Linked DNA regions of Alligator mississippiensis. The protein of the gene in region 1 purifies or fractionates together with the protein of each later gene. This does not show direct contact. Links are inferred from orthologs where the notes say so. Each region holds a gene or a part of one and is shown in the gene's direction. Other genes may lie near its edges.

Region 1 (8,030 bases):
AGACAAGTTTTAAAATCTCTAAGGAGGAAGATTCTACAACAGGGGTGGGCAAAATGCGGCCCGCGGGCCAGATGCGGCCCACCAGGCCATTCTATCCAGCCCATGGGACCCCTAAAAATTTAGAATATTAATATTTATCTGCCCCTGGCTGCCTGTCATGTGGCCCTTGATGGTCTGCCAAAACTCAGTAAGTGGCCCTCCGCCTGAAATAATTGCCCATCCGTGTTCTACAACCTCTCTGGGTAACCTGTTCCAGTGTTTTACTATATACATAGTGAGGAAGTTTTTCCTAATATCTAACCTACATGTCCCTTGCTGCAACTTGAGACTGTTGCTCCTTGTTCTGTCATCTGCCACGACTATAAACAGTCTAGCTCCATCCTCTTCGGAATCACCCTTCAGGTAGTTGAAGGCTGCTATTAAATCCCTTTTTAGTCTTCACTTCTCTTCTCTAGACTAAATAAGCCCAGTTCCCTCAGTCTCTCCTCAGAAGTCATGTGCTTAACCCCTAACCATTTTCACTGCCCTCCATTTTCACTCCCCTCAATTTGTTCACATCCTTTCTGTAGTGGACTGAACTCAGTACTCCAGATTTAGCCTCATCAGTGCTGAATAAAGAGGAATAATAATTTTGCTTGATCTGCTGGCAACATGCCTACCAATTCAGCCCAGTATGCTGTTAGCTGCCTTAGCAACCAGGGGCACACGCTTGGCTCATAGACACTAACTCCCAGGTCCTTTTCTGCAGAGCTGCTGCCCAGCCAGTCAGCCCCCAGACTGTACTGGTGCATGGAATTGTTCTGTCCTAACTGCAGAACTTTGTACTTGTCCTTACTGAACCTCATGAGATTTCTTTTGGTCCAGTCCTCCAATTTATCTAGGTCTATCCAAATCCTAACCCTACTCTCCAGTGTATCTACTACTCCCCTCAGCTTGGTGTCATCTGTAATCTTGCTGAGGGTGCACTCTATCTCATCTTTCAGGTCATTGATAAAAATATTGAACAAAACCAGTCCCAGGACTGACCCCTGAGGCACTCCACTTGATACCAGATGCCAACTAGACATTGAGCCATTGATTACTATACTCTAAGCCTGATGCTTCAGCCAGTTTTCTGCCCACCTTACAGTGCAACCACAGTATAAAATAAGACTCAGCAGGTGACTATAGACTGAATGGGAAGCAGGATGGAACCGTTCAGTGTGTGTGCGCATATATTCTATGGAATATTTTGTAAAATAAAAATAGTGCAAAAGCTCTTTCCAGGCAAGTTTTGGACTCATATTACAGATGGGGAAATTGAGGCACAGAAGGGTGAACCGACTTCCTCAACTTTTGTCAGCTTGGCTGAGAATGACATATTAAAGTCTTAGACTCCAATTCCTTGTCTACACCCTTTTATTTATATATCACAACTGTTCAGGTTTTATTTAATTCTCTTCAACTGAAGTGTCTGGCTGTACATTAAAGAAGGAAAGCTAACATAGTTAAGGACTGTATTATAAAGGAACTAACTATATATTCCATCTCTTACCTCAGAGCTTTGTAAGAGCAAAATATAAAATAAGTTATTAAAATGGAAAAATATTAATGCCTTGTTAAAAATTTAGATGTGCTGCAGATTATCAACCAGTATAAATCACCATGATTCTATTCAGATTTACAAAACACGAAGTCCTAGAAATCTCATCTATACATGCTAGGCTGTCTTGATTCAGCTTAGAAACACATCCTAAATGCCATAGTTTAACATAGTCCATTACAATTTTCTCTGGAAGGGTTTCCATTCTCTAAAATTACAGTTCCCTCCATTTTAAGATAACTGGGTGGGTTGGGAAGAAGATAAGCCTTGCAGGGTGCCCTGATGTTCTAAGTTATTTAACACCATTCATTAACTACTCAATTATCTATCTATCTATCTATCTATCTATCTATCTATCTATCTATCTATCTATCTATCTATCTATCTATCTATCTATCTATCTATCTATCTATCTAATAGGCCCATGCAAAGTGGCAAGTATTTGCTTCAGATTTGGCCCATTTGGAGGACAGTGACTTGATTCGGAGATTCAAATCACTGTCCCAATTGGATTCAGCTGAATCAGATCTGAAAGATTTGGTGCCTCTTTGGAGATTTGGCTATAGACTAAACAGGCAGCTGACACAGCTGCCTTCAGCTGGTAAATCTGTTGGGGTTGGGGGTGGGGGAGGGAAGGGGTGTGGGGGAAGGAGGGGTTGGATTTGGGGCTGGGACATACTGCCCAACCAGGAAGGGGGAGAATGTTACTGGGGGAGGAGGGTAGCAGGGCAGAGCCCCTGCTCCCAGCACTGCTGCGCCCACATCAGTGCTGGGACTCTGTGCTGCTGCTGCTGCTTGCCAGCTGGCACAGGAGAATGTGGGATGTGGACACGGCAGCTCTGGGAGCGGGGGCTATGCTCTGCTGCTGCTTGCCCCCTTCTACCTGGAGTGAGCCACACCTGCATCCTGCCCCTCCCCTCTCCTGCCCCGGCTAGGCAAGTGGCAGCAGCACAGAGTCCTTACTCCCAGTGTTGCTGCACCCACGTCCCATGCCTCCCTGCCCCCTCCCTGAGTCCTACACCCCCCATCCTGGCTGGGCAGCTTGTCCTAGCCCCAATCCCTCCCACGCCCCTTACCTAACCCCAACAGACTTACCAGCTGGAGGCAGCTGTGTCAGCTTTTTAGTCTATGGCCGAATCATTTTCGAATCTTTTTCTGAATCAATTTGGATGCTTCGAATTGATTAGGAGCTTTTACTTGATTTGATTTGGAAAATTGGTCCCCAAATCAGGCTGAATCTTCATAGATTTCATAGACATTAGGGCTGGAAGGGACCTCGGAAGATCACTGAGGCCAATCCGTCATTGGCCCGCCCACCTGTTCTGGGCCAACCACCCACCTCCTCAGCTGCCACACCTTGTTGTTTCTTAATTGGTTCTTATTAAGGCAGGAGGCTGCCCATTCTTGCCCCAATGCCAGGGGGGGTGATATCTGCGGCTCTGTTCCTCCCCTACACTACAGCCCATGCCTCACATGGTGACATAATTACTCCTGGCCTGAGACCAGAGGAAACCAAGTCCACAGTTGGGCTCCATGCACACGCACACTCATATCACCTTCCTTCTCACAGGAGGCCTCTTCCACTCTGCCCCTCTCTAACTGGGGCCTCTGGCATACTTCCTGTTACTGGGCCATACTCCACTGCCCTGCTTCTGCTTAAGCGACCCCTCTGGGGCACCAGGCTTTGCTACTCACATAGTGGTCTTGCCATGCAGTCCCTTCAGTTCCTGTGAGTTCCGCTACTCTGTGTGGTCTGGCCTTGTGCCAAACCCTGGGCTAATTCTGCCCCATGTCACCTGGCAACTCCTCACACACACACACACACACACACACACTGGGCTCCCAGCCCTCTGGCTGCCCCCTCACTGGGGCTCCACACCCACCCCATCACTGGAGTTCTGCATCTCCACCCCCTCACTGGTGCTGCCTCCTCACTGGGGCTCCACATCACCACCCCCTCACTGGGGCTACAGGGCTTCCCTCCCTGGTGGGGCTCAGGTGGCCGTAGCCATGCCTGGCCCCTTCTGGGTCTTACAACCTCCCTGGGCTCAGGTGGCTATAGCTGTGCCTGGCCCCCTTGTACCCACAATGATGTGGGGGCTAGGGGTTAAGGCGCCTTGACCCACCTATCAGCAGGGTGGTAACTGGCCTGGTATTTCCTGGGGGCTCCCATGCCACTGAGAGCCCCACCAGGCCACCCACTCCCAGCAGGGTGCAGTTTTAGGTCAGGACCAGGACCAGGACCAGGACCAGGAGCCTCCTAGCCATCCCCTACAGCTCCTCCCTTATCTCCAGGATGTTCCAAGCAGCCTTGCAGCCAAGTGATGTTACTGCCTGGGCTGCCAGCAGTGAACTGTTCAGTCTATATAGATGGCCAGGGATCTAAAATGGCTGCCGCAATCAAGCACCTGCTGGCTGCTTGTCTCAGCCCTTAAAGTGGCAGGCACTACAGTGCCCTGCCACACTCCCGCTTATTTGATCTTGTATTATTAAACAGCAAGTCATGGCAGGTGAGACAGGAGAGACTGCCCTAGACAGAGGAGTGGGCCAGCATTGCAATTGGCCACATGATCTTCCCCTTGTCACAATTACCAAACTAAACAAGATATTTTTATATAGGTGTGATATATATATATATATATATATATATCCTGTTTAGTTAAATGCTTCTTCACTACAGAAACTTAAAAGGAATTATTTCCAACATATGCCAAACACTTCTGTGACCTAATAAGGGACAGCAATACCAATCAACAGATATTTCTGAATATGTGAGAATACACTAAAAAAAAAACTTCTGGGTGTCAGCTCAGTTATTAACATTTTAAAAATCATATGTGAAAAAGAGATTTAATTTACAAAAGCAGCTTTTATTAGCTGCTTTCACTGCTAGGTTAAGGGATTGCTAAGCCATACAGTGCACCTATCATTGTGGACAAGTGGATCTGGATAGTAAAGACAGATCAATTTCAGTTTGGGAAAGAGGCCTTCCCTGTCACTTGTAATCTTCTCACATCCAGAAGCATCTTGAGTCCTTTTCTAAACACACTGATATTACTTGAAATTCACAGGGAAGAAAAAAAACCCAGCCTTTGTTTGTGTTAACAGGATGAGAAAGTGCAAGGCTTCCTGTTGTATGTGTGTGACAGCTATAGATAAGCAGAGAGCCCTGGACAGGAAATCCGCTTAACTTCTGTAGTGTGACTCGTCTGAAGCTTAGGAGCTTTTAGACTGAAGCACCAACGGAATGACACGGTGCTGGTTAAAACATGGGTGACACGGTAGAGAAAAGTTCTGAAGAGCCTCTGGTCTCTTTGGACAATGACTGTTCCAGGAAGATGGGGGACCTTGTGGAAGTCTCGAATGGTGAAAAGGTCAAGTTTGATGACACTGGGCTCTCTATGGTTCTTCAGAATGGTCTGGAGAACCTCCGGCTGGAAAACTCTCTCACAGATGTAATCTTGTGTGTGGACAGCATAGAATTCTCTTGCCACCGTGTGGTCCTTGCTGCCGCAAGTAACTATTTCAGGTAAGACAATTTTAAAAAACAGAAAGCCTCTTTCTTTCAGGATATTTAGGCAGGGAATTTCTAAGGAGACTGACATTGGGAGCCCAGCTTCCATTGAATTTAATTGCGTGTTGGGTTCCTAATATTTTCAGCTCCTTTGCAAGCTGAAAGCATCAAACTCTGGATTGTAATATATCACCATTGAACAAGTTTAATTGAGACAGACAAATAAAAGAAAAATGGTTGGCAGATGAAGTGATGGAGAATTAATGTAGCCAAATACTTGGCGCGTTGTCTGAAGCACAGATGCATAAAATGAGGGTGAATGGCGGCAAAGAGGAAAATCATTGAGATCACAGGTCTTTTTGACTCCTTTTGTGGAAAGCTGTCTGTTTTTTTCACTGTTGCTCTGTGGCAGCTTACACATTGCATAAACCTGTTGAGAAAGGAAAAGGATGTGTGTCCCATTTCCTATCTTTCCCAGGATTGCTGTAAAATCATTTGAGAGATGGGAACCATCTGCTTGGAAGAATTTTAAAGAAAATGGAGACTATACATTTAGTCATTTTAAAACCACAATTAATTGTCTATTTTATGCCACTAACTGGAAGGAACAAATTTGAGACATACGGAGAAAAGCAGTGTCAGTTATAACAAAATTTCCACCATCACTTAGACATGCACATTTGCATGGTAGGGATTTTTTTTTTCACGGTTGAAGTGGTCAGATGACCAAACACCTACAGTGGAAACTTGAGAATCAAAATCTGTGATTATTTGTGATGTGAATGGAAAATACTGTTTTAGTGGAGCCTGGCAAATTTTAGTGGCAGAGATTGCAAAAGCATTACTAATAATTATTATTAACAACAACAAAAACAACAACAATAATAATAGTACTTATATTCTGCCCTATCCAGAAAGGCTCAGAACAGTTTAAAATAAATCACAAACTGCACATAGGTAAAAAACAACAGTAGATTCTCCAAACAACATCTAATACTGAAGATAGGAATCGGACATTTCTAAAAGAGAACCCAATGGTGATAAAAGCAGCATCTCAGTGCTTCTGATTCTGGTACCATGTAGTAAAGGGAAAGAAAATGCACAATTAATAAAGGAATTAAGATAACATTACTTTGAAAAACTGGTTAACAGTAAAAAGGTCTTCCCTGTTATCAGGGGCTTACAGGAGAATTCATGTAGCTGCCCACCAGTCACCTGCTGTTGATACAGCACTCTGGGAGGATGCTGTGAATGTTTATGGTCAGTGCCGTAGTAAGGAGGGGCGAGCAGGGCGACTGCCCTGGGTGCTGAAATGAAGGGGTGCCAACAGGTGCTGCCCAGCTGGGGCAGGGCATGGGACGGAGTCATGAGTGGATCGTTTTGGGGGGCACGGGGATGGGGGGAGGGCGGCTCCTGTCACTGCATGCACTCCCAGGCAAGCATGGGGGGAGGGCGTGTCCCCTGGATCTTTGTGTGGGGCAAGGGTGGGCTACCACTGCGGGCTTGGCCCCAGGCACCAAACTTCCTTGCCATGGTATTGTCTATGGTGCACCTTTAAGACCCTTTGGATTATACTGTGACTTTGGGGATACTAGTTGCATATTGTCACATGTCACATTAATAATAATTACACGTATACAAAGAAACTAACAAGGGCTGTTTATGAATCTCACAATGATGCACTGGGAGTTGCATGTACCTAAGGAGAGAGAGATTCAATGGTTAGGCAACTCATAAGATTTGACTGATTTGTCTCAATTACTCTGGATCTTTAGGACTTGTGCAAAGGTCATCAAGTTCAGTCCCTTTGTTACTAGGAATAGCCACATCATCTAATCCCTCTAATAAACTCACATGGTACATTTTGGTTGCTACCAGAACACAAATAATTAATACCACCTTCCCATTTTACATGGAGGTTAAATACAGCCAAGCAGGGATATCAACCTTCAATTAATTGATATCATACTTAGCACAATGCTTCTGATGAATCCTATATTCTTGTAGACATGTTGGGTTTGAATCTCCACTTCACCTGTCCATAGTTAAGGTTGCAAAGAGGCAACAATGCACTACCAGATTAGAATAGTAGCACTTTATATTTGCTTTGCACAGTTAGTAGGCTCAGAGCAGCTAATTTCAGCATTTTCAAGAATATCTATTAATTTGAGGAGCTGAAAATTAAGCAGGATTTTTAAAGGTGGGGCACTGAAGGCTAGGCTCAAACATCCACATTTAGGCAGCAAACATCCACATTTAGGCAGCAAATGGCCTGATAATTAAAACTGTTGAGGGTTGGGCACCAGCCTGACCAATGGGGTAACGAGCAGTGTCTTGATTGCCACTGCAAGTAGAATGCCTCCCAAAGAGGACAGTGTGCTCAAACTCTCTCTCTCTCTCTCTCTCTTCATCCCCAAATGCAGTGGAAGTTGCTGTCTTGGGGTCTCAGCACATCTGTGGAGTAGACTGCAAGCAGGAGGAAGGCAGAATGGCCTAGGTATATGAAGAGGAGCAGAGTATGACTCCTGCTCCCCCAAATTTGCTGGGGTGTTTAGGTGATCAGAGAGGTCACAGCCAGGTTCTGTGTTGCCTGTAATTACCTGCAGGGAGCTATTGCTGTCAGCTCAGTGAGTGCTTGTTCCAGTCTCACAGCCTGTTTCAGAACTGTCAGCTGGCTCCAGTGTCTCTTGTCAATGCTCAGAGCCTTCACCATCTCCTCACCCATCAGTCAAGTGGGGAGACCCGAACCACAGGCAAACATAGTATAGGAGATGCTGGCTCATACCCACTGGGTTTTGGGGAGGAGTGACATGGAACTGCCATTGTGGTTTTCACCTCATGATCTCACTTCATGGAACATACATTAAACAAGTCTCTACACCCCTCAGAGGTTAGGTTGTATTAGTCCTTCTATAGACAGAAGGATATTGGTGA
Region 2 (7,879 bases), about 32 Mb from region 1:
CACCCCCCATGGATGAGCACCACTCCTTCCACCAGATCATCAGCAAGGTGAGCCAGGTCCCCCCAGTGGTGGCTAGGGGGCAGGGGGTTGATCTCAGTGCCCCATGGGGGATCTCAGGCTGGGTCAGGCAGCTGAGGAAGGTTTTGGTGCTTGAATGGGGTGTCTGCATGTGTCCCCAGGCACGGCGCTATGCAGATCTGAAGCCCGGAGAGCTGCCACTGTGCGAGAGCCTCAAGGACACCATTGCCCGGGCACTGCCCTTCTGGAATGACCACATTGCCCCCCAGATCAAGACCGGCAAGCGGGTCCTCATTGCTGCCCATGGCAACAGCTTGCGTGGCATTGTCAAACATCTAGAAGGTAGGCTGCCGCGGCTCCAGCCCAGCCTGCCTTGGGCCCTGGCATGGGGGATGCAGGCAGCTGGGCCGTGCCCGGGGCTATCACTTACTGGTAACCTTTGCCTGGGCCCTGCGCCAGCACTGTGCCCTCCCCGCTATGGGCTGCACCCTGACCTGTGACCTTTAGCATATCCCCACCAACCAGCACCAGGATCAGCAGCTGCTGGACCCCCTGCAGGGCATCTCTTCTAACCCCCAGGCTGACTGGGAGCAGGCACAAGGTCCCCATGACCCAGTCTGCCCAGTGCTGGGCTCCCACTGCACTGGGAATAGCTGGAGGGGTCCGGCAGGAGTTGGCAGAGCGAAGGCTAGAGGTGCCATGAGGCCAGGGAGGCTGCCACCTGGCACTGAATGAAGAGAGCCCCTGCCCCGCCTCATGCCTCAGTTTCCCTTTCCCTGGGTGGCATAGCCTGCCCTGTGCCTCAGTTTCCCCAGGGTAGGGCTGGGAGCTGGAGCCAGCAGCTCCATGACCCTCACTGAAGGTCATTGCTATTTCCAGGCGGGCTTCACATTTCAAGGCTCAGCGGGAAGGGGCAGGTTTCCCTGCAGAGCCCCCCTGCCCCCACCCCTACCCTAGCCAGCAGCCACACACCCCAACAGGGGATCTGGTTTCCTTTCCCCAGGCCTAAAGGTCACCAGGATTCCAAGGAGGTGGAAAGGGACAGGACCTCTGGGGACCCCCAGGAGCTGCCCCCACAGCTGGCTTCTGCCCCCCCCCCCGGCACACAGATTCTGCCCCCCCCGGCTGGTTCCTGTCCCCACAGTGCCCCCTGTTGGGGGCCTGGGAGCTCCCCCACACCTAGATCCTGCCCCACAGCCCCCAGGGCGCCCAGATTCTGCCCCCACCAGGCAGCTCCTACCCCCAAGGCACCCTCCCTACCACCCCACTCCCCCCAGAGCTGGGGGCCCATCATGCACTCCAGCAGAAGGTGCCTGGCATGTTTCCCACCCCAAGTCCAGACCTCACCCCCAGCCCATGACCCTCTCTGTCCCACAGGCCTATCAGATGCTGCCATCATGGAGCTAAACCTGCCCACAGGCATCCCCATCGTCTATGAGCTGGACGACAACCTCAAGCCCACCAAGCCCATGCAGTTTCTGGGCGATGAAGAAACCGTTCGCAAAGCCATGGAGGCAGTCGCCGCTCAGGGAAAGGTCAAGAAGTGAGGGAGGGGCCATGGAATAAACCCCTGAAACCATCCCCCAGTACCCGAGCCTCTGTCAGCAAGGAGGGATGGTTGGGCATGGCTCGACTGGCAGAGGAAGATGTAACAGTGCCTAGCCCCCCTGCTCCAGTGGGGCTGCCAAGCTGCTGCTGTAGGGGTCTGGGTTGTGGTGACCATCTCCAGGGGTCAGTCCCTCTAGGCAGCAGTTCTGGGGCAAGTTGAGTGCCTCTAAGAGTTGTGTGTGGGGGGGAGGGACTTGCTGAGACAGGCTTGGTGGGAGCAGCTATGGAAAGTTGTTACCCAAGCTCTAGCTGCTCCATGGACCTGCCCCGCACGTGCCACCAGGGCCATATGCCAGGAGACAGGTTCTGTGGTGGTCATGTCACCCCCACAGTCCCCCACCATGGGGGCAAAATGCCTGCAGGTAGTTCACCTGCTGTGTGTGTGTGTGTGTGTGTGTGTGTGTGTGTGTGTGTGTGTGTGTGTGTCCCAGACATCTGGGGGGCTGTGGGGAGTGTCCTGGGTAGGGTTACAATATTTCCGGTATCAAAAAAAAGGAGGGGGGGAGAGAAGGGAGGGGCATATGATGGGGGCGGGGGGGCAGTGGTATGCCTGTGCCCTGTCTCTGCCCCACACTCCTAAGCCCCTGCCCCCCCAGCCTTGCCAGTCCCACTCCCAGTCCACAGCCCCCTGCCCCCCAGTGTTGTTGGTGCCCCTCACTCCCAACCCACAGCACTCTGCCCCCCCAGCCCTGCTGCCCAAGCAGCTCCCACGTTGCACACATGCACACACACACACCCCCACACATACACAATGTCCCTTTTCTTGGCCAGCCTGAATGGGGAGCACATGTCCCCTGACAGCCAATCACCTTGCCTGCTGCTTCCAGCCCTAAGCAGCCAACCTGAGAGAGCAAAGGAAGAGTAAAAGACCTATTCTCCAACCATTTGGGTTGGTCTAATAAAAGATATCAAATTCACCCGAGTAAAAGCCCGGACATTTGCTCTCATTTTCAAAACCCACCCGGACATGAGGACAGGGGGCCAAAAAAGAGGACATGTCCAGAAAAACCTGGAAGTATGCGTGTGTGTAAGACAATGATTCTCAACCCTGGTTCTTTGTGTGTGGGGGGCAGGGTGGGGGCTCTCTCTGCATGTGCATGTGTGTGTGTGTCCTGGACCCTGGGTTCTTTGTTTATATGTGTCCCAGACACTTGGGGGGGGTGGGGGGGGCAGGGTGTTGGTGTGTAAGACAATTCTCATCCTGGGTTCTGTGTGTATGTGTGGTATAGGACAGTGGCTTTCAACCTCTTAGCATTGACTAGGGAAGAACCCTATAGAACAGCATTTCTCAACCCATGGATCACGACCTAAAAGTAGATTGCAAGAATATATGAAAGGGTCACGAACAAACTTTAAAAATGGATTCTCCTTTCAAGGAGAAAAACTTGGGAATCTGTGGGCTTTCCCTCTCAGGCTGACAGAGTTCCAGCCTGCAAGGGGCTGGTTGGGGCCCCCCATGCCCCCCTCCCTTGCCCCACACACTGGGAGTGGGAGCCAGCAGGTTGGGAGTGAGGGGCACCGAGTCAGGACTGGCTATCAATGTTTACAAATGGGTTCTGGTAGAAAAAAGGTTGACAACTTCTATAGAGCCAATCATTCTCGTGTGGCAAAGAACTCCGCCAGCCCTCGGCGGGGCAGGAGCGGGGCTGGCCACTCTGGATTCCTGTGTGAAATCCCTGAGTTTCTCTTGCAACTCAGGCATTGGTGTTGGCAACCCTAGCTGTGCTAAGACAACATGACACCCTGGAGAGGGTCTCAGGGATCCCTCTACATGCTGCAGACCCCACAGTGAGAACCACGGGGACAGCACAATCAGCCTCTGGCCAGGCACAGAGCAGGACTGAGACAAGGCAAGAAGAGGCATCTGGTGGAGGCACGGGTCTTGCAGTCCAGCTCCTTGCACCGGAGCGACACCGAGTTCCCTCCCTGCTATCACAGGCTGGTGGCATCTGTCTCCCGGGTTCCAGCATCCCATGTTGCCAGGGACTGCAGGGGCTGAGCCCACCAGCCGTCAGGGTGTCACAAAGCGGCTTCATCATGGTGCCGGGGGGGACCTGGCCTCCTGCAGGGGACTGGGTGCTGCCAAGGTCATGGGGAAGATCTGGCCAAAGGGCAGGGCGGGCTGCATCCCTTCACCCACGTGTCTGTGCATCCATCTGTGGTGGCCAGGTCATACCCTGAGGCTCCCATGTAGGCACACCCTGCCCAGGGATTTCCAACCTGCATGCCCATTGCTGTAGTCAGGACAAATGAGGGTTACCATATGTTTAGGTTTTCCTGGACACGTCCTCTTTTTGGGTCCTCCCATCTCCATCCAGGGTTTTTTTTTAAACATCAACAAACATCCAAAATTTGGGCTTTTTGCAGCCTCTGAGCCCTCCTTTCTCTGCTTAGCTTAGCATGGAAGCATCCCTCCCCAACCTGCCCCCACGCGGCACCTGCTCCTCCAGTGGTGGAAGAGAGCTGGGGAGGGGCAGCGCAGAGCCAGGTGGCAGAGCTGCACCAGTGCCTGTGCTCACTGGTGAGATGCTTGCAGGGCTGCGGGGAGCAGGGGGCTGCAGGTCAAGAGTGAGTGGCACCAGCAGGGCTGTGGTTTGGGAGCGAGTGGCACCAGGGCGGCGGTGGACTATGAGCTGCAAATGCAGGGCACAGATTGTGCCAGGGGTCTGCAAGTTGGGAGCGAGGGGCAGCAGCAGGGCTGGGGGCTGTGGCTTGGGAATGAGGGGATATCGCTGCCCCCTACAATCATATAACACCCCCCCCCACACACACACACACACACACACACGTCTTTTTTGAAACTGTAAATACGGTAACCCTGGATCAGGCAGCAAATGTTTCACACTATGCCCACTATGGTTGGACCCGTACCATCACCCCCCGCCGCCGCCGCGCCCGCTCAGGGATGGCCGGAGCACTTAACGGGGCGGAAGCTGGAGGAAACTCGGGCAAGGGACTGGAAGTGACCGGAATTGGAGGAACCATTAGGTGAGGAACAGGGGAGACCGGAAGTGGAGGGATACCACTGGGTAAGGAACTTGAAACAACCATTGGGTGAGGGGGCCTGGGAGACCGGAAGTGGGGGAAGCCATTTGTTAAGGGACCGGGGTGAGCCGGAAATAAGGGGGGGGACGGCTTAGGGTGAAGAAAGGGTTCCACCTACCGGAAGTGGAGCGCCGCACGGCCGGAAGTGCGGGTGTTGCGGGGCAGCCATTGGGCGCGTGCCCGGGCGGACCGGAAGCGCCGGGCCGCGGGAGCCGCCGTCGCCGTTGCCATGGAGCCGGGCGCGGCGCTGACCGACGCGTACGACCAGGCGCTGCTCGGCATCCTGCAGCACGCGGGCGGCGTGCGCCAGTTCCTGCACGTGCTCTTCGGCTTCCTTTACCGCCGCACCGACTTCTACCGCCTGCTGCGCCGGCCCACCGACCGGCTCGGCTTCCCGCCCGGCGCCGCGCGCGCCATGGTCGGACAGGTAACCCCCGGCCCCTGCCAGCCCTGGCACCTAGCGATGACTCGCGCCTGCCTCCTTCCCCCGGCCCCCCCATAGGGTCACAGAAGGGTGGCTTGAAACCTACTGATGACCTCATAGGGTCACAGAGGGGTGTCTTGGAGAGACGTCAGGAGGGCCCATCCAGTCCAGCCCCCAGCCTGAGGCAGGATCAGCCCTGACCAAACCAGCCCAGGTGAATCCAGATTCCCTCCCCTGAACGCATGACACAGTCGCCCCCGACACAGGTTTGGTCCCAGCAGGACCGTTGGCACAGCGCCATCCCCAGCCCAGGCTGCAGCCAAGCGCCCAGTGCTTCTGAGCCTTAAGAAGGTTTAGAAACCCCCTGACAGGTGTAGCAGTAAAAGGAGGGAGCGTATCTAATTTCTTTCCAGCCTGGCACAGCAAACGGCAGAGTCATGAGCTGTCTCATGAGTCAGAACAATCATATCTTGTCTAAAGGCTGGTACCAGGGCCCTTAACCTCCCTTCTCCCAGCTGCCCCCATTGCCAAAATATCCAGCGTGGCCAGCTTGAGACCCACACAGCAGACAGGAGTTGGCAGGGGCAGGCCGGGCAGGTCTTGGGGAACAGTATTCACAGCACTGTCAGCCCTAGGGCTTGTGTAGGTGTCATCAGCTGCCCTTGCCCTGTATGCAAATGCACTATATGGGTCACACAACATCAGCAGAACCTGTCATCAGGCAGGTAACGAGCGTGTGTTTGTTATTGTGTGTTGTACTCTGTAATTACGGACCTTATGAAATTCCTTCCAACCCTGCTTCCTTCTGATCCTGTCGTTTATACCCAGTGACTGCATTTATTCCTTTTCCCCGCCACATTCTTCAAGTCGTTTTTGCTGCCAACACAACCAGGTAACTTCTCCAGCTGCATCCTGAGCATCCTACTCAGGGAAAACTGGTAAAAATGCTGTGGGAGACAGCTCCCAGATCAGCACTTGCATTGCTTACAGTGGGGTTCCCACATGAGTGAAATGACTGAACACATGCATTGAATCTGTGCCTGGGAATCCAAGTGGAAATGTTGCACGTGGAATCTATTGAGGGCAATTGATTGCTCCAGTTGCTTTACATTGAGAGTATGCTCTGTGCTGGCCAGCATGGCAACTGTCTCACCCACCCCATGGTATCTGGCTGCAGCTAGGTTGGTACAAAAGCATTCCCCTTGGCAGGATGGTTTTGGTAGGGATTGGAGGAAGATGACAGGTGTCGTGGCAGTCAAGTCTAGGGAGAGGTGTTGGAGGGGGATTGACAGCAGTGGTTTGGATGTGCTGAAGGGGAGAGTTGAGGTGCTTGCAGAGAGGAGACTGCAGTAATCATGATTTACCACGAGACTCAAAGGACCAGGTAGATGCTGGAGCCCTGGGGTTGGCAGGGGTCACCTGATCCAAACCCCCAGGCAAATGCAAATTACTCTTAAAACGCATCAGAGAGAAAAGCAACTAGATATCGCCACAGATGGGTAGGAGGCACAAGTAGAGTCTTCCTCCAAATTTCCCATGTTGTGTCCTGATTCTGACCCAGTGCTTCTCAGCTGGGTGACATAGCACCTGGGGTGCTATGAGAGCTCTTTCAGGGCAGATAAAGGTCCCCAGGTACCTTCTGCCCAGCCAAGCTAGTATGCTCTCCTGCCTCCTTGAGGTCTCTGTGAAGCTTAGAGCAGCCAGGGGAGTCCACTCATGCCACAGCTCTCCTCATCTCCCCTCCTCCCTACACAGTCACCCACCCTTGCACCCCTCCCAGAAACATAAATGTTCCACTTGCCCCACACACTTCTGTTTTTGGGAGGCACCACGCAGGGTCGGGTCAAGGTGGACTGCAACCTGACACCACTCCCCTGCCTGCTTCAGTGTTACTAGAGACCCCCAAAGCAGACAGGAGTAGGGTGCCTCAATCTTACTAGGCAGTGGGCATAACATAGATGGTGGATTTGTCTAGGTTAGTTTGAACAGGGATGATTCTGCCTTAGGCAGTGAGTGGGACTAGATGTGACCTGTGGAGGTTCCTTTCGCCCCTGCTTTTCTGTGATTTGTTGTGGATGTCTCGGTCTATTTCCTTGGGTGACACCTGCATGATGTTTGAAACTTTCCAAGCAAAGTTTCATCCCAAAGGCAGCCCAGTGGTTGATGTGACCAGGGTGTTAGGGGAAGCACTGGCTGATTTAAGGTCTTCCTGTTCCAGTTGTTTCGTGCTTAAATACCCAGTCACTTACATCTTCATCACCTGTAAGGAATAGTAGAGCTAGGATTCAGCGAGACCTAGGCAAATTGGAGGATTGGGCCAAAAGGAATCTTGTGAAGTTCAATAAGGACAAATGCAAAGTCCTCCACTCAGGACAGAACAATCCCATGCACCGCTACAGCCAGGGGACTAACTGGCTAAACAGATCTGCAGAAAAGGACCTGTAGGTTACAGCAGACAATAAGCTGAATTTAAGTAAGTAGTGTCCCGTTGTTACAAAGAAGACAAATGGCATTAGTAGTAGCATCGCCAGCAGATTGAGGGAAGTGATTGTTCCCCTCTATTCAGCACTGGTGAGTTCTGTGTCCAGTTTTGGGGCCCCCACTACTGAAAGGTTGGAGACAAATTGGAGAGAGTTCAGTGGAGGACAACAAAAATGGTGAGGAGGCTGGGGCACATATCTTATGATGAGAGACTGAGGGAACTGAGCTTATTTAGTCTGGAGAAGAGAAAACTGAGGGGGGATTTAATAACAGCTTTCAACTCCCTGAAGTGGGGTTCAAAGA

The links.
Region 2: the proteins of KLHL6 (region 1) and NUDCD3 purify together in Homo sapiens (affinity purification with mass spectrometry; 3 studies listed by BioGRID and IntAct, counting the BioPlex papers as one, with this or other methods). This does not show direct contact. The link is inferred for Alligator mississippiensis from reciprocal best matches to the Homo sapiens genes KLHL6 and NUDCD3.

The regions. Positions count from the first base shown.
Region 1 is NC_081830.1:41,875,831-41,883,860, reverse strand, and holds the start of KLHL6 (kelch-like protein 6), read left to right. Parts: upstream 1-4,788; 5' UTR 4,789-4,851; coding exon 4,852-5,111; intron 5,112-8,030. UniProt on the Homo sapiens protein: Involved in B-lymphocyte antigen receptor signaling and germinal center formation.
Region 2 is NC_081830.1:9,892,901-9,900,779, forward strand, and holds the start of NUDCD3 (nudC domain-containing protein 3), read left to right. Parts: upstream 1-4,821; 5' UTR 4,822-4,900; coding exon 4,901-5,098; intron 5,099-7,879. Other genes in the region: phosphoglycerate mutase 2, read left to right, coding at 1-47, 180-360, 1,396-1,565.